Saccharomyces cerevisiae S288C: one gene and its partners. The gene in region 1 interacts genetically with each later gene. Each region holds a gene or a part of one and is shown in the gene's direction. Other genes may lie near its edges. The genes, in order: FET4, COA4, FTR1 and HAP3.

Region 1 (5,013 bases):
CACATGGTGGAGCTACAATCTCGCCTTCTCCGACCAGTCACGATTAATTAAATTGCCTAAAATTAACTTTTATATTCCCATACAGTCGATATTGCTAGCTCAAAAGGCGTTATATTCGAAAGTTGTATCCAAATATTCCATCTAATGTATTATTGGCAAAAGGATTCCGTGATCTGTGTTCCCAAGAACAATCATAACCTTGAAAAATTATTCGCCAATCATTACATGCGGCAAACTAAAAAGCCTTTTTTTGTTGGCTCCGTGGCTCTATTGTCGCAGCTGATAAAAGCAGGTGCCCTTGGATATTTTCGAGAAATATATGACAACTTATTGATGTTTTGCTGGATCAAGTTTACGTGAAGGCAAATTTTCATAAAAGTGTAAAGTATTAACTCTTGAAGGTGCAATAACTCAATGGGTTTTTTTACCTTACAACTCAGCACCATCTTATAATTACAAGGCTGTAATATGTGAGGCCTGGCCGAAATTTCATGTGAAACAATACATGGCTTTCCAAATCTACGCATTTTTAGAGCTTTTCGTGAATGTCGTTACGCTGCTCCCTGACTTAACAATCCCGTTAGGGTATCTACTTCAGAGCAGATTACAATATCAAGAATGTTGTTGGTAGGTATTTGTAAACTTGAATTAGAATCCAAAAAGCCTTTACTAGGAGCTATTTTTAATAGTGTTTATGTTTTTCTTCGAGTACTCTATGAGATGGAAAATTGTCGCCTACGAAAATTTAGTACCTTCTCTTTATCCCAGTGACAAGTTATGCATGCTTGTTATACGATGTTAAATCTTCACTTAAAATCCTCTGGAGATGTACCGATTCCGGTAGGTTTCACTCGAAATTTAGCATATTTCAGTTTGGTTTCCTAACACGACCAGTCGCAGGTGAGAGTCTTGGAATTATCCTTCAACACTGTGTGTTATTGTAGATCAGTAATTAAAGATCAGTGTAGTATTTTCAAATATTCTTTACTTCAGTAAGGACAGAATTTGTAGTGACATTTAATGAAGAATAACAAAGGGATATGGATGTCAGGCGACATTACTCGACGTAAATTACTCTCACGAAGGCAAAAATATAACCTAGCCATTGAGTCCTAACCTACTATTAGCGAGATCTTTCTCATTTCGGCTTTAGAGTGTTCATTTTAATACGATGGCCAAAATTAAAAAAATTCGGCCATCAGACCTTGTCGCTTTACTAAGAAGTTATACGGATGAAGATGAATTACTTGAATAAAGATCTTCACTCACTAAATGAAAACATCTGCAGCACGTGCTTGTTATGCTTAACTCCTTGTAAAAATAGTGTATTTCAAAAAATACGCAGTGACAGAGTAAAGATACCCTAACTTTTGTCCGTTGTCCTCCGGTTCCATCATTGCCAAACTAAAGTACTAAGACCATTATCGTGGGTAAGATCATACATTTAAATAAAATAAAAGATACGTAAGCACCTAGATTCCTGGGACAAGCAGCTCAAAATATTTGTTCCTCTTTCCTGTATGAACTGTCAATGCGTTGCTGCTTCGCTGCACGTATTAAGGATTTTGATGGAAGGTCCAACAAAGAAAAAGAAACGTGCGCTTTTAAAAAAAGAAGCTTTTCCTACCAAAAGTTCTTTGATCTGCTTATTCAACGTAGCATCTTATTCGCATACATTGGACTCATGTTTAAGGCATTCTAATCACACCAGTTTCCTTGCATATGAGCAAATATCTGTGCTTGCTGTTCTAACCATACGTACTACTACGTTGATTGGATTATAATGTCCTTTGGGTATTCTCCGATTACGTTGTCCCATTTTTCTTTTTTGCCTTGTTGCGAAGAGCGTTGTTCCGAAAACCGGGTGCACTTTTTGTTCACTTTATATATCCCACGAGGAGACTGCGCGAACATGATATGTTTGACCTGGCATAGTGCTATTGTTCATAAACAATAAGCCCCCTAAATACCTGCATGTACGAAGGTGTACGTACGGTCATTCGCATTTCCCTAGCATTACTTTCAGTACTGGACAGGTTATTTTTACCCCTCTAGTTTGCGACTACCACTAAATGGGCCATTTTTACGTGTCTACGACATATCGCAAGGGTTTTTTTCTTTTGTCTTATTCGAGTAATTATATAAGCGCGCGTAGTCATTTTTTTAGCGAGACCCTAGGGTCCTGTAGCAGTAATTTGAGGTTTTCATGGCTCGAACAACGACAAAATATTGAGGAATCTTGAGCCTTATTGGGGCGTAAATCACACAGGTGTTGAATGAGCTTGGAGCTTGTGCGGTTATGTATTAGATATGGGCAGTTTCCTTTAACGTTGGCGCCTCTTTCTTTCCTACCCGTGGGGTTGCTCTCGAAACTGATTAGGTCATGAGCATTTTTGCTGAGTCTTTTTAGGAAGCAGCATTTTTCTCAAACGAAAAAAAAAAAAACCAAAAAAAAAAATAAAGACAAAAAAACTATATAATGCTACTGGCCTTGAACTTGCTTGGTAGAAGCCTTCTTAATTGCACCCATTAGTTTAGCATCTACCACATCTTGATTCGATGCTCTTCATTTAGAAATACTTGTTTATATAAATATACTTCACACGGCATGAATTAATTGATAGGTAAGTAAGTTTCTTTTATCATAAGTCAAACAGTATCAGATATAAGAAGGGAAAAGGTAGATATAGAAACCTAATAAGACCCTTATTATTAAACATTCGTTAATCAAATTATGGGTAAAATTGCAGAGTTTCTCGGGAATCCAGGTGCTAGGCCTGACGTTCATCATAGAGCACCTACTGTTGACTGCAAACAGTACGAAGAATTCGGTGATTCTAACGATTACAAAAATGATGATGTGGTCAGAGTAGTCAGCCATAGCGATGAGAGTACTGATGACGAACTTTGTAATGTGAATTTAACAGAAACAGGGGCAATCTTCACGAGTAAAGGTTTTACCGGGTTAAGCAAAGGTTTCACAGATAAGACCCTGGATTTCCTGGTACGAGTGGCCGGTTCGCAGGCGGTTTTTTTTATTGTTTGGATCATCCTCATAATTTGGGTGGTTATTGGTATTGTTTATAACGCACCTTTCAATTGGCAAGTTGTTATGCAGGACGGACAGTCTATTCAAAGTTATGTTTGGGACACACTGTTGATGAGACAACAGTTGATGAGTACGCATGAACAAATTTTGATCTGCGGTAGATTGAAGTCGAGATTGGCTTCCTTCAAAAACTATCTAACAAGAAGCACCCCAGAGGAAGAAAAAGCAGACTGCACAGTTGAAGCTAATGAAGTCAGCTCTGTTGAAAATCATATAGACCCATCTGCCATTAACGGAGAACTGCCTGTGGAAAATTGGTACGACCGTTTATCTAACGTAGCAAGTAGGTATATGGGTTCAATTGCAGCAATGGTGATATTTTGGATAGGTATTTTCGTTTGGATTGGTTGCGGTGCTATCCCAAAAGATGCGGGCAACACTCCACCTTACACCGGAGAAACTACAGGTAGTAATCCAAGATTGAAAAAGTTCAGTGACGCTTGGCAGATGTATATTAACACTGCAGTTGCAGTTTCCCTTCTAATTTGCACTACTTTCTTACAAAATATAAGGGCTAGACATGATTATTTCACGGGGAGGTTTTTAGTTGATATCTTTGATATGGACGAGAAAATCGACTATCGTATAAGAAAGCATTTTAACGATTTTGAAACACCTCACCCAGTTGTTACTATTGAATCTAAAAAAAGGTCGACAGGGAGAAAGATGATTGATTGGTATGCTGATATTATTGGTACTGGTATTGGTGTCCTGATTGGTGTGGCAGTGTTCGCCACATGGATTGGTATTGGTTCGCCAATGAAGTGGGATGATAATTGGTGGTTGATTATCGGTACATACACAGGTTTAATTGGGTTTTTGGACGGTTTCGTTTTGAGAGAAGTGTACTTCCGAATCGTTCAACATGAAGAGAAAAATTATTCTGATGTGGCTAAAGAAGACCTTGAATTATTCCAAGAATTAGGTATTGAATGTCCCGAAGAATTTAGTGGTAAAGCTCCTGAAATTAACACTATTGGTTACAGAACATCCCAATATATTAATAGGATCTGCTCAACTCCATGGAGTGTTCTTGTATCCGTCATCATCATCATTGGTTTAATTTGTATTGCTTCCGGTTTGCGTTGGAGTACAACAGGTCAATTGATTGCTAACACGCCAACTATGATTATCGAAGAATTTTTCTTGCTAGTTTTGTTGCAAGCACATAATTGGGCCGATCGTCAAAGAAGAGTGGAGGTTACCGCTTTGTACGCACGTAGGCGCATACTTCTATCATACGTAGAAAAGCGTTTCCCAGAGGTTATGATGTTGGAAAAATAGCTTCATTGAACATTTTAGCATTAGTGGGAAGAATTCCTCATGTTACTTATGAGGGAGTTAATTTTCCTTAGGGATTTTAGGAATTTCTATACGGAGGTAGCGATCGACCTTAGAACTTTTATTTAGTTTGTACATATACCTCACCTGAGTTTTGCTTTTTTCTCTGGGAGCCTAAACCATTTAAAATGATATATAATAGATAATAAATCCAGGATAAAATGTGGCTAATTGATCTTTTTTCATTTTCAACTTGGTAATGACGTACTGGATACTTTCGACGCTCTTTTTTAGTCCCCGATCCCCGTCTTCCAGGACCTTGACGTGGAATTCCGATCACAGCCACTCTCGTCACGGCTCCGTTAAAATGAATGGTTTTCCGTTACATTTACTGGTCTTTTTATCTTTTTACAGTAAATGGGTGATATACTGTGACACAATTTGTGTCTCTACTGTGTGAACTTCCATTGCTGACTAAAGATTCCCCGCTCCGCTTATATGTCCGGTCCGTCCTTGACCGAAGATCACATTGCCAATTTTTCACATCTGGAAGCGATACGACAATATAGGAGAAAAAGAAAAGTGAAAGGCAAAAAAGCACCAACAGTTCTCGAGGTGAAGTG
Region 2 (3,904 bases), on another chromosome or scaffold:
ATTTTTCATATATAATCTTAATTTTACATCTTCATTGTGAGACATTCGGGCTAACAAAGAAAACAAAAAATGCGGGTCACGAAAGGGGTACCGAGCCAATGAGAAGAGGGTATGTTAGTAATATTAGTGAGAAATGCGGCGCGATTGGTCCAGACCGAAAAAAATCAATATTATTAAACTGTAAAAGTTATATTAAAAATTAAGTTACATTAGTAATTGAAGTTCACAAGAAGAAAAAGAAGAGAATAAATCTAAAACCAGGCTTCAAAAATTAGGGTTGATTGCAAAATTCGAGTAAACAACTGCTAACGGCTGCTTTTTTTCTTGAACAGTTTAGTGAAGAAACTGGACTTCTTGTGCTTCGTGGGAGGATCTTGTGTTTGAGCCTGTATTGTCTTAGTGGCATGTGTCGAAGTGACCATTGTTGGCTCAGCGGCAGATAATTCATTCGTCGATGATGTTGTTGGATCCGTGGCGTCTTCCTGACGCTGAGGGGTTTGGTCCTGTAAAAGCGAAGAAGAAGACTTTAGATTATCCTGCAGTTCCGGTGATCTTGTTCTCGTTGTTGAAGCTACTGCGGAGGTAGGTACATTGCCCTGACTTTGCCCATTCGAGGACGCAGTAGTCGAGTCTATTTGTTGTTGAAGGGGTGAAGGTGAATCTGTAACTACTGGATTCGTCATCACACCTTCGTTTGAAGATGGCTTTGCGGTTGTCACACCTTCCGAAATAGACGCTGCTGGGAAGCTTTCTTCAGCATTACGAGTAACTGGAGTTTGTTCGCCTTGTTCCTTCTTGTGCTGGTAGCCGTAGTTTTCTTGAGAGAATTGCAGCACTTTATCGAACATGGTTTTGAACTTATTTTTGGAAGAACCAGTTGTTTTTGTCTTCTGCAATGGAATGGGCTCGTATTCATGCACTTCGCTTTGGACTGGAATTTCAGAATCCCCTAAATAGTGCTGCTCATTGGGCGGGATGCTCCCAGTGGATCCCAGATGGCTAACGCCGACCTGACGAGGTTTAGCCGCCGTAGTGCTATTATCGACTGCTTCAGGTTGAATACCATGTGAGTTGTAATACCTCGCTTGTGCGATTTTCAAAGCTTGGTCATACATTTCTTTATCTGTTAGCCCTGTGTTTGCACTTTTAGGCTCTGGAACTGGGTCAACAGCCTTATTCGATTTAAAATGTGTAGACACAGAGTGATTGTGCACTTCATGGGGGGCGCTTTTAGTATTTCTGCTGAAGAAGGAACTTGTAAATCTTTTTGGTTGAACCTCGACATTAGATTTGACAAGATTAGCAGTCGCCGTCGGAGAATCACTACTGCTTCTCAAGGTCATTTTTTGACCCATCCTACTTTTCCTGGATTTGTTACTCCCGAGGGGGGCCGATGCGTTATCCGAAGCAGCATCCGTGTGATAAACGTTTCTTTTAGCAACCTCTAGTGCCTTCAGATACATTTCTGCTTCGGTTAATGGTTTCTTGGCCTCTGCTTCTGCGTTTTTCACGGCAGGCGGTCTTTTCTTCCTTCTTGTCGTCGATGCTTGCTTCCTTTTATTATGAATATATTTACTACTGGTCTGATGGGTGGGAGGAATATAATCTAATGCGTCACTGAAGTTTGATAAACTACTTTCTTCTTCTAGAGGCATAACGTCTGTAGAATACTTATGGTGGAAATATGATCCAAGTGGGAAATCTGGTTTTTCCACGTTTAGCTCTGAATCATCTTGTAAATGACTTTCGCTTACTGGGGAATATGGCTTTTCGTTATCTGTTTCGTTTTCCTCGATTATATCGTGAATGTTATCACTAGCTTGTTCCTCTAAAATGTCGTCATCTTGCAACATGTAATTTTCACTAAATTCATCGAAATGACGCTGCGAGTCACCTAATGGAACCAAATTCTTAGTCGTAGTCGTGGTTTCTACGTATTCATACCCATTTATTTTTCTTATTGTCTTTTTGGTAATTGATTGAGTCCTTCCTGAAGGGTCTGTTACTTGTGTAGTCTTTACGGTAATGGAGTTGGCCCTTGAATCGTTATTGTTGCCGGCCGTCGATTTGTTCTTACCGTAGTTTCTTCTGACATTCGCACCAGACGTCATAGAATTCATACGGCTCCCATTAGTAGTATAACCGGGCGGGTGTAAATGGTACTCTCCGCTCCTTTGCGACCTCAACGAGTAAGTCTTCTGTGAATACTGCTTAGCTGCTGCCCTGGACGTTGGCGGAGCGGCAGAGGATGTGGAAAGCCTTCTTCCTGGGCTCTTTACCGAACTTCTTTGTCTCGGTATTGAAGGTGCATGACTAACCAGCGAGTGCGACCTTGAGTAATTGGTTCGATCCGGTGATGCGGCAGAAGCAGCAGAGGCAGCAGCAGCAGAGAGCTGAGGACTTTTGTTATAATCTTCATGGTTCTGATAGTAGTAATCATACCTAGATAAATCAGGTACCCTCCTGTCCCTCTTTGTAAAACCAAATACCATTTTCAACTTTCTTGATCAACAGAATGTCTTTGTTTGTTTATTCTAGTGAAAAAATAGAAGTAAAAAGCAATCAATATAAGCAACGTGAAACGATCGAAGGAAACTAAAAGAGGTTTGATGTTAGAAGAATTGATTAACACCAAATCAAGCAATTTATTGAAGTATGGGTCCCTGATGTTTGTCCTTCTCGTTCTTGCTTTCCCTCCCCTCTTCTCATCCATTCGCTTCATTTATGCTTTTATTTTCTTCTTTTTTTTCTCACAACAAATGTCCGAAACAAAAAAAGGGGCCTCAGCCATTAAAGGTAGTGAAAGGCACTTCTAAGAGTTGCGCCAAACAAGGGAAGATTAAAGGGAAAGAAAAGCTCTGGCAGGCTAAAACTGGCAGACTGGTCATGAGTGAAACTGGCGAAACTTCAGAGTATTATAAGCAGGCGCTGGAAGAATACAAAGAGGTCCAAGAAGACGAAGACCCGGATGTGTGGGACACGAGAATATCCAAGACCGGATGCTACGTAGAGAACCTCGCATTACAGCTGTGCCATGCCGAAACAGGTGACTGGAGGCAGTGCTTCAACGAGATGGCGTTATTTAGGAAGTGTTGGGAAAAGAATGGTAATAGAGAGCGCGTAAGCACAGTGGACGTGGATGGGACGACCAGTAAGGATTCGGAAAAGAAGAAATGAAAATCTAAATGTCGTGATGTATAACTTGTATATAATAGACAGCTGCAGTGATCGAAACACATTGTTTCCCTTTATAGAACATAACTGTTACGCTTTTGAACGGCATTTCTATGAGCTTCTAGAATATTTTTCCGCCCTAGCTGGAGAAAGTTCAGACAGAAAATTATTTAAATAAGTCGAATATCAGAGGTGCTGATGCGCTCACATCACATAGAAAACTGGTAAGACAATATTCAGGCGATCAAGGAGTAAAAATGACTAGACCTAAAACTTTTTTTGATATTTCTATTGGAGGTAAACCCCAAGGCCGTATAGTTTTTGAGTTGTACAATGACATAGTGCCTAAAACGGCTGAAAATTTTTTGAAGTTGTGTGAAGGAAATGCTGGTATGGCAAAGACTAAACCTGATGTACCATTGTCGTACAAGGGTTCCATTTTCCACAGAGTGATCAAAGACTTCATGTGTCAATTTGGTGATTTTACCAATTTTAATGGTACTGGCGGTGAGAGCATATACGATGAAAAATTCGAGGATGAAAATTTCACTGTTAAACATGATAAACCATTCCTTCTATCCATGGCCAACGCCGGTCCAAATACCAATGGATCTCAAGCTTTCATAACCTGTGTTCCTACACCTCATTTGGACGGGAAGCACGTTGTGTTTGGTGAAGTGATTCAAGGTAAAAGAATTGTTCGTTTGATTGAAAACCAACAATGTGACCA
Region 3 (4,548 bases), on another chromosome or scaffold:
GCGGGGCCGTAGAAGAGTACACGCGGCTTGCACAATCTGGCGGTACATCCAGCGAGGTGAAGATGATATCGCTTCTGAATTGCTACACAGTGCAGGCGGCAAGAGTGAGCCGATGTTCGGGGGACAAACAGGGCGAACTCGTAGAGCAATGCAACAAGGTGTGGCTTCAGGTGGAGAAATTGCTACAAGAAACGGATCTGCAGTTCAACCCCATATGGGAGTGCACAGTAACGATCCTATGGCTTTTCAGCCATTTCGAGCCGTTCAGTTGGAACCCGCTGCCATGTAGTGACAAGCAGCGCGCCGAGTACGTGTCGAAGCTCCGCGAGTTCTACTCTAGCAACAAGTTCGTTGCCGGAGAAGCCGTTGCGGACAACCGCTTCAAATTGAAGAAGGCTCTGTTGCTGCAAATACTGGTAAACTACTTAGGCGGTCGAATGCTCGAACACGATCTGGGCGAGATCTATGCGATTTCAGCAAAGTGTTTCGATATGTGCCGCCAGCAGGGCGGCATGCGCAAGGTCCAATACGTGATCGGAATATGGCATTTAATGAATTGTACGGTGGCGATGCGGGGAAAAGACGTCGCTCTCACGAACGCGAAGCTGGAGGCGCTGGTTAAGCAAATCACCAGTGTCAAACAATAAACCAAAAAAAAAAAAAGAAACACTTGATTTCCTTTATCTATTTTTATACTTAATTATTTTTTTTAGATGCACTATACAAATTCGCGTTAATTTTTGCCTTTTTACAACGCCTCCGTAGGGGTCTTTTTGCCGCCTGGCACAAGGATGGCAATATTGTTGCCGCTTAAAAGCATTCTGCCATGGTGCTGCATAACTTTCTCATTTCTGCTCTCGTCCTCAGGATCGATAAGCCACTCGACAGCGTCTTCCAGTATAACGTTGACGAAGTCGTCGAAACCAACTAACGTGCCCTCGAACTCGCGGTTCGACTGCAGCACAATCAACACTTTCTGGTTAATTGTTTTATCTATGACTTCCAAAGGCAAAATCTCCGGTAGACTCATTTTGCGCGCTTCTGTGTATGCTTGTGAGTGCACGTGTATACGCTATGCTTGTTGTGAGACCATCTATCCGCCAAGGAAGCCTTTTTCGCTTTCTCTGTATTTTTTCTACTTCAATAAGAAAGCAAGTATTCTGTTTTGCTACCCGGATGCAAAGACAAAACCCGAGCATCCGGGTAATAAAAGAGCAGGGTCCGGCTGAAGGTGCCAAAAAAGACCAAAAAGGGCTATATTATCTCTCTCTTACGATTGCCTCTGGTTAAAAAATGAAATAGATAATAAAAGGGCAGCAAAGAAAAAAAAGAAGAATACAATATACGTATACGTTCTCAACAATTTTTCGTCCTGTTTTTTTCTTGACCACGGTCACTACTAACTCCTGAGACATCAGACCAACGTGTAGAAAAAAAGAAATCGGGTCCGGCACTGACACACGCTCTGCGCCAATCAACCAGGGCGCATCGAGCATTCTTTCCAGGCCAGGGTGCAGAAATACTATTATTAAGTGCGCGAATACTGCTGGTGCATTAAACGAGCGAGTACAGTGAGCCCGCCGCTGACTGCCGACTCACGCCAGGCCGCTATTTCCTTCCCCCGCCCGCGTAAGCCGTGCCGAGCACCGTCGCAGCAGTAAGAAGGTGCGCATTTCATTCTCTGCACAGCGTAGATGAATGCACCCGATTTCTAAGTTGGTGTTGCAAGGCCCGGTGGAAGCGATGGGCTGTAGTTCGACCTTGAGCTTTTAGTTATATAAAATGCTCAATGTGAGCAAAAAAATACATAACACGACGGATTGTACGTTGTCGAAATCTTCTCTCAGCAGGTCATCACACATATACTTCCCGCCATGCCTAACAAAGTGTTTAACGTGGCCGTTTTCTTCGTTGTGTTCAGAGAGTGCTTGGAAGCAGTGATTGTTATTTCCGTGCTGCTATCGTTTTTGAAACAGGCAATCGGGGAACATGACCGGGCGCTGTACCGTAAATTAAGGATTCAGGTTTGGGTCGGTGTGTTACTCGGGTTCATCATTTGTCTGGCCATCGGTGCAGGTTTCATCGGTGCGTACTATTCGCTGCAGAAGGATATTTTCGGAAGCGCGGAAGACTTGTGGGAAGGTATCTTTTGTATGATTGCGACGATAATGATCTCGATGATGGGTATTCCTATGTTGAGAATGAATAAGATGCAGAGTAAGTGGAGAGTGAAGATTGCGCGGTCGTTGGTGGAGATTCCTCACCGTAAGAGAGACTATTTCAAGATTGGGTTCTTGAGTAGAAGATATGCTATGTTCCTTTTGCCGTTTATTACTGTCTTGAGAGAAGGTTTGGAAGCTGTTGTGTTCGTTGCCGGTGCAGGTATTACCACACAGGGCTCGCACGCCTCTGCTTACCCATTGCCCGTTGTGGTTGGTTTGATATGTGGTGGTCTTGTTGGGTATTTGTTGTACTATGGTGCTTCGAAATCCTCGCTGCAGATTTTCTTGATTTTGTCTACTTCGATCTTGTACCTGATCTCCGCCGGTCTTTTCTCTCGTGGTGCGTGGTACTTTGAAAATTACAGATTCAACCTTGCCAGTGGTGGTGATGCTTCCGAAGGCGGTGATGGTAATGGGTCTTATAACATCAGAAAGGCCGTTTACCATGTCAATTGTTGCAACCCAGAACTGGACAATGGGTGGGATATCTTCAATGCTTTGCTTGGATGGCAGAACACCGGCTACTTGTCATCCATGCTTTGTTACAACATCTATTGGTTGGTTCTTATCATTGTGTTGAGTTTAATGATATTCGAAGAAAGGCGTGGTCACTTGCCTTTCACCAAAAACTTACAATTGAAACACTTGAACCCAGGATACTGGATCAAGAACAAGAAAAAGCAGGAGTTGACGGAAGAGCAAAAGAGACAACTGTTTGCCAAGATGGAGAACATCAACTTCAATGAAGATGGTGAGATCAATGTGCAAGAGAACTACGAACTTCCCGAGCAAACTACCAGTCATTCCTCGTCTCAAAACGTCGCCACAGACAAGGAAGTCCTCCACGTTAAAGCCGACTCTCTTTGAATGAAGTCTAGCACAGGGTGGGAGTTTTCCACCTATTTTCTGTTGATAAAAATACTACATTTATATACATATATACAATAATTTCTAATATCGTTTTTATAAAGTTGGCCTTGTCTGTACGGCGTCGCAAAACAAGAACCCCTGGTCCAATTGATCTACCGGGCATTGATTTTTTTTCTTTTTTCCTTGCGCCTCACTTCAACACATCAAGTAAACACCAGCTATATTTAGTTGCTAGGTATTCTCCAACGTATGTGGAGTCCTTTCTTTATTATCTCTCTACACAAATAGGCACAAGCGTAATGGGCTCAGAACAAGCCTTAAGTGAGGTTGTCGAATCTGCTAAAGAGCGGTTCGGCAGGCTTAGGCATTTAGTTCAGAAGTTTCTTGATGATGACGACGTGCCACAAGAGTGTCTGCCTTTGCTCCAAGAATGCGCAGAAATATGGTCTAGTTATGTGGACGCATGCCAGGATATAACCATGCAGGCCCCTAAAGAAGATGCAAACCGGTTGTCAAAGGGGTTTCTCCGATTGAATGAAACAGCTTTTTTATATTACATGATCGTATATACGCTCTTGGAGGATACTCTACCAAGACTAAAGGAATTTTCGAGCAACAAGGACCAGAATGTTAGAAATTTGTACGGGGAGAGAATCCAGCTTTTGCATAATGACCCAAATATTGAGCGGATTCGAAATGTCATTGAAAATTACCCTAAATTTATACAGTTGCAAACTATAGAGCCTGGAAAATTAAGTTCAATGTTGCATTTTCATGGTGACGCTCTCTTGCTTATCGATGTACGGCCCAGGTCTGAATTCGTTAGGGCCCATATCAAATGCAAAAACATTATATGCATCGATCCTGCCTCATTTAAGGATTCTTTTACAGACCAACAAATTGAAAGTGTCTCTTTGATCACTTCGCCGCACTCAGATATCACTTTCTTTTCAAATCGAGACAAGTTCAAGTTCATTATTTTATATACTGACACTCAATTGCATAATAATTTCCAGCAAAGGCAAACTCGCATCCTTGCGAAGATTCTTTCCCAAAATTCAGTAATTAAACCGCTGAGTGGGACGAAAATACTCATTTTGGAAAATGGGTTCTCAAACTGGGTTAAATTAGGTGGGGCGTATCAATCATCTGTCAGTGAAACAGCGCATCTTACATCCTCGTCTTCAACGCCAGCTTTTGGTAGTCCGCAAGTCCCAACAGGCTTGTTCAATCAGAAATCTCTATCTCCAAATAAAGATAAGAGTATGCCGATGGTATCCATGAATACGCAGCCTTTGCTAACAACGGTGCAAAGGCCTCAATTACCCTTATACTATTCAGATTTGCCCATTATACCGCAACCAAGCCCCAACAGAAATTCTCCCACCGTTCAAAAATTTAGTCCACATCCACCAACCACTCTCTCAAAACTCAATACACCCTCGACCATTCAAAA
Region 4 (3,842 bases), on another chromosome or scaffold:
TCTTCTTCCCAATTTTGTCCAAATTCCGAACTCTTCTTAATAAAACTTTCAAGAACCTTAATCTAAACATCTCACCCTCCTCCGATGAGTTCGAATTTGCGGGACAATATACACTGATAATAACTATTCCACATGCCAGTTCAACCATAACACATCTGCCTTCTGAATCTAGTTCCAGTGCACTTTTCTCATCTAAATCGGGATCTAAAGAATCGTAACCACCAATTCCTTGATTTACGTCGTTTCTATAGGAGATTGCTGAATGCTTACCATTTTTTATTGTCAAGTAACCCGTTATACCTTCTTCTGCCTTAACGACTTGTAATGCATGGTATAGTGGGTGGTTCTTTTCCGGAATTCTAATCCAGCAGCCAACGCCAGAATATCCCTTTCTGGTTTGAGGGATAGAAATAAAAGAATAAAAACCATCAACTCTCCCCCACTTAGAGATAGACAATTTTTCCGTCTTGAGCTCTTGGAATGTTATTATGTCTGCTCGAAAAAAGTCGAAAACAGATCTAAGGGATTGATTCATTTGAGAAAATGGTTGATAATGAAAAAAGGTTCTTATACCATTGACATTGAAAGTTAAAAATCGTATTGTGTTCTCTGACTTTCCATCCAGTAACGTGTTTTCGCTTGATGACATAGTGTCCTGACAAGGAAAGGGATTTTCTTTACGGTGAAATAGCTTCTCTCTTGGTTGCCTATCTTTTATTGGGTAATTTTTCAGCACTTTCACATCATATAGTACATACAAACTAACTTTCTGAAGGACTAATAAATAAAAAAAAATGAATGCTTTTTGATAATATACTCACTATATGTTATTTAAGCGCATATTATGTGTCGCCTAAGTTATATAAGAATTTTTGTTTATACATCTTTAGAATTGGAAACCGCCCTCTTGTTAATAAAAGATTGTATGGTTTGGCGCTCCTTGACCAAAATTAACGCTAACAATCCCATTGCGAATAATACGTTAACAACAAATTGTTGTAAATTTTTAACGTACCCAATAAACCACCAGTCAAGTAGACAGATCGTTGAGCCAGCAATAATAACTGTTTTGAAATCCTTAAAATTGAAGAAAAAAGAGGAATCTGTAAACAGTTCCCTATGAAATTTATTCAAGAAAACTCCACAATACAATATTCTCAACACCATGTTAATGATGTTACTCAATATCAAGCCTTCGATTGATAGTTTGAGTTTTTCAATAAGAAGCCAGGAATTGAGCAGGAAAATACCAGAAAAGGCCATCATAAAATATGAATGTTTCAAAATTTGGTCACCAGTGGCTACACTCTGGAAAAAAGCTTCAAAAATACCATTAAGCGATAAAAATGGGATGTAAAAGCAGTAGACTCTTATAGTGTCCAAAACGGAAGTAGTGGACCATTTCGAGCCAATCAAGAACTGCAATAAAAAGGATGAATTGGCAGGCCCAAATACAATGATCATTAACGATAAGTATATGTAAAACCTTGTTAAATTCACCAGGACTTCAATAGATAGTTTTAAATTTTTAGGGTTATGCGAGGATAATAAACGGGCCAAAAATAACCGCAGAGATTCTTCGATCGGCGCAAATAATAATCTTGTTAGTAGCGATCCATAGTTCGACAATAGAGCGTAAATGCCTTGTTCTTCCACAGTACATAAAGAATTGATAATCAACTTATCACCCTCTGTCAACAAATGCTTAAAACATAGTTGAAAATAAACTTTTTTGAAGTGCTGTAAAATGTCGTTTTGGAAAAAATAAGATGTGCTCTTTGGGTAGCCTTTCTTCAATTCGTTATTTTCACGCGTTTTTATCTTCGTTAGCCTGGTACTGAACAATTTCTTTGGTTTGAAATTCTTGAGATAGTCCCAGTAGTAACATGCTAGCAGGGTGATCGAATGTGCTAACTTTCCCAAGGCAAATGCCAATATGGCGATGCCTTCTTTGTCAATGTCCGATGTGACAACCCCCATTGGGTAGCGGGATTGCTGAACGGCATAAACAACTATAAAATTGACAATACATCCTGTAGTCACCGCGATGCTTTCAAATCTTGACCTTGCGGCATAGTTCAACATAAACTGGTTGACGATGAAGAATGGCTCGCTTAACAGCTCCACGATGATACTCAGCCAGATAAGAAAAATCGACCACCTGAAGAATGGAAGAGTGATGAAATACGCGTTGATGTTTCTGTACTGCCAGGCGATAAGACCAATGGACAGTGGAAACCCGATCCAAAACGGAATGTAAGCAAAATTGACTGCGGTTTGCAAAACTTTAGACTTGTAATGAGTTTCCTGGTACTCCTCCTCGTCGTCATCATCGATTATTCCATTACCGGAGTCTGAGATTCTCAACGTCGACAGACGAATCGCATCTCTGCTAAAAAATAACACTGTGCCCTGTATAAATTCTAGAAAGGCCGTGATACCGAAAATTCTGGGCGACAGAAACCTGATCAACAAATTATTTAGTATGAACGTTACCAGTTTGGTGAAAAGTTGGCCCATCATGAGGAAGGTAGCTCCTGTTGTGGACCTTTCCAAGATCTGCTCACTAGTAGAGGGCAATTGTGAGTTTTTTTTCGCCATTTTTTCTTTTCCTTCACTGACAAAAGCAGAATCAACTTCAAATCACCCTATCTGTGGCCCTTTACTGCTACTAATACGCATTGTCTTCTCCAGGCTGCGATTACTGCAAACCTTCTGCCAAAATATAGCACAATAGAAGTACCATATTACGTTCGATGCCACGACAATATCGCGCTACGTGCGTTTTTTGGTCCGCTCTTTCAGACTAAGTAAAAAAAGAGCTGCGAATAGTAGCTTTCCGCCAATCAAACTCAAGAGCAGGACTAAGCTAGATAGTAACACAAGTGGCACAAACCTCTCGAGAATATGAATACCAACGAGTCCGAACATGTTAGCACAAGCCCAGAGGATACTCAGGAGAACGGTGGAAACGCTAGCTCCAGCGGCAGTTTGCAGCAAATTTCCACGCTAAGAGAGCAGGACAGATGGCTACCCATCAACAATGTAGCGCGACTCATGAAGAATACTCTCCCACCGAGTGCTAAGGTATCGAAAGATGCGAAAGAGTGCATGCAGGAGTGTGTCAGTGAGCTCATTTCTTTTGTGACTAGCGAGGCCAGCGATCGATGCGCTGCTGACAAAAGAAAGACGATAAACGGGGAAGACATTCTCATATCATTGCACGCCTTAGGATTCGAGAACTATGCAGAGGTGTTGAAAATCTACTTGGCTAAATACAGGCAACAACAGGCGCTGAAGAATCAACTAATGTATGAGCAGGACGACGAAGAGGTGCCTTGAGAAGACAAAACCAGGTGGTAGATCGCAAAAGTTGCTAGCTGTCAGGATGGAATAGCACGGGGCTATTTCCTGCTGGTCGTTGGTTCTCGTGTAATTAATGAATGTAACGATATAGATAATATTTTATTGTTAGTGTGTAATGTATTCAATGTAATGTATGGGTGCTTTGTAAAGGGTGTATGATGTTTGCCACCGGAAGGAAATAAGTCAGACGAAGTCTTTTAGCCATGCTTTTGCATTGGTATTGCAGCAACGACAAGCTGATACGGTTACTAGGACACCTAAAACCTGATAATACAGTGTGCATTTGCAGCTGTTTCAAAGTTTAGTTGTTTTTTCTTTTGGTTTTCGAGGTGCTTGAACGAAAAGATTTGCAAATAGAGCATGCTAAGAACAAGAACCACAAAGACCCTTAGCACAGTGGCGAGGACCACAAGAGCTATCCAATATTACCGATCTATCGCTAAGACTGCTGCAGTTTCTCAAAGAAGGTTCGCATC

The links.
Region 2: mutations in FET4 (region 1) and COA4 together harm fitness more than expected from each alone (negative genetic interaction), as found in Saccharomyces cerevisiae (2 studies listed by BioGRID).
Region 3: mutations in FET4 (region 1) and FTR1 together harm fitness more than expected from each alone (negative genetic interaction), as found in Saccharomyces cerevisiae (2 studies listed by BioGRID).
Region 4: mutations in FET4 (region 1) and HAP3 together harm fitness more than expected from each alone (negative genetic interaction), as found in Saccharomyces cerevisiae (2 studies listed by BioGRID).

The regions. Positions count from the first base shown.
Region 1 is NC_001145.3:912,260-917,272, reverse strand, and holds FET4 (Fet4p), read left to right. Parts: upstream 1-2,734; coding exon 2,735-4,393; downstream 4,394-5,013. Other genes in the region: YMR320W (uncharacterized protein), read right to left, coding at 222-527. UniProt on the Saccharomyces cerevisiae protein: Required for Fe(2+) ion low affinity uptake.
Region 2 is NC_001144.5:572,739-576,642, reverse strand, and holds COA4 (Coa4p), read left to right. Parts: upstream 1-2,724; coding exon 2,725-3,177; downstream 3,178-3,904. Other genes in the region: MSC3 (Msc3p), read right to left, coding at 306-2,492; peptidylprolyl isomerase CPR6, read left to right, coding at 3,432-3,904. UniProt on the Saccharomyces cerevisiae protein: Involved in cytochrome c oxidase assembly or stability.
Region 3 is NC_001137.3:459,067-463,614, reverse strand, and holds FTR1 (high-affinity iron permease FTR1), read left to right. Parts: upstream 1-1,874; coding exon 1,875-3,089; downstream 3,090-4,548. Other genes in the region: cohesin-loading factor complex subunit SCC4, read left to right, coding at 1-647; RNA-binding protein LSM5, read right to left, coding at 749-1,030; YER145C-A (uncharacterized protein), read left to right, coding at 792-1,229; putative ubiquitin-specific protease UBP5, read left to right, coding at 3,392-4,548. UniProt on the Saccharomyces cerevisiae protein: Permease for high affinity iron uptake.
Region 4 is NC_001134.8:181,160-185,001, reverse strand, and holds HAP3 (Hap3p), read left to right. Parts: upstream 1-2,907; coding exon 2,908-3,342; downstream 3,343-3,842. Other genes in the region: DNA-(apurinic or apyrimidinic site) lyase APN2, read right to left, coding at 1-649; RFT1 (glycolipid translocation protein), read right to left, coding at 877-2,601; ATP-dependent Lon protease PIM1, read left to right, coding at 3,727-3,842. UniProt on the Saccharomyces cerevisiae protein: Acts a component of the CCAT-binding factor, which is a transcriptional activator and binds to the upstream activation site (UAS2) of the CYC1 gene and other genes involved in mitochondrial electron transport and activates their expression.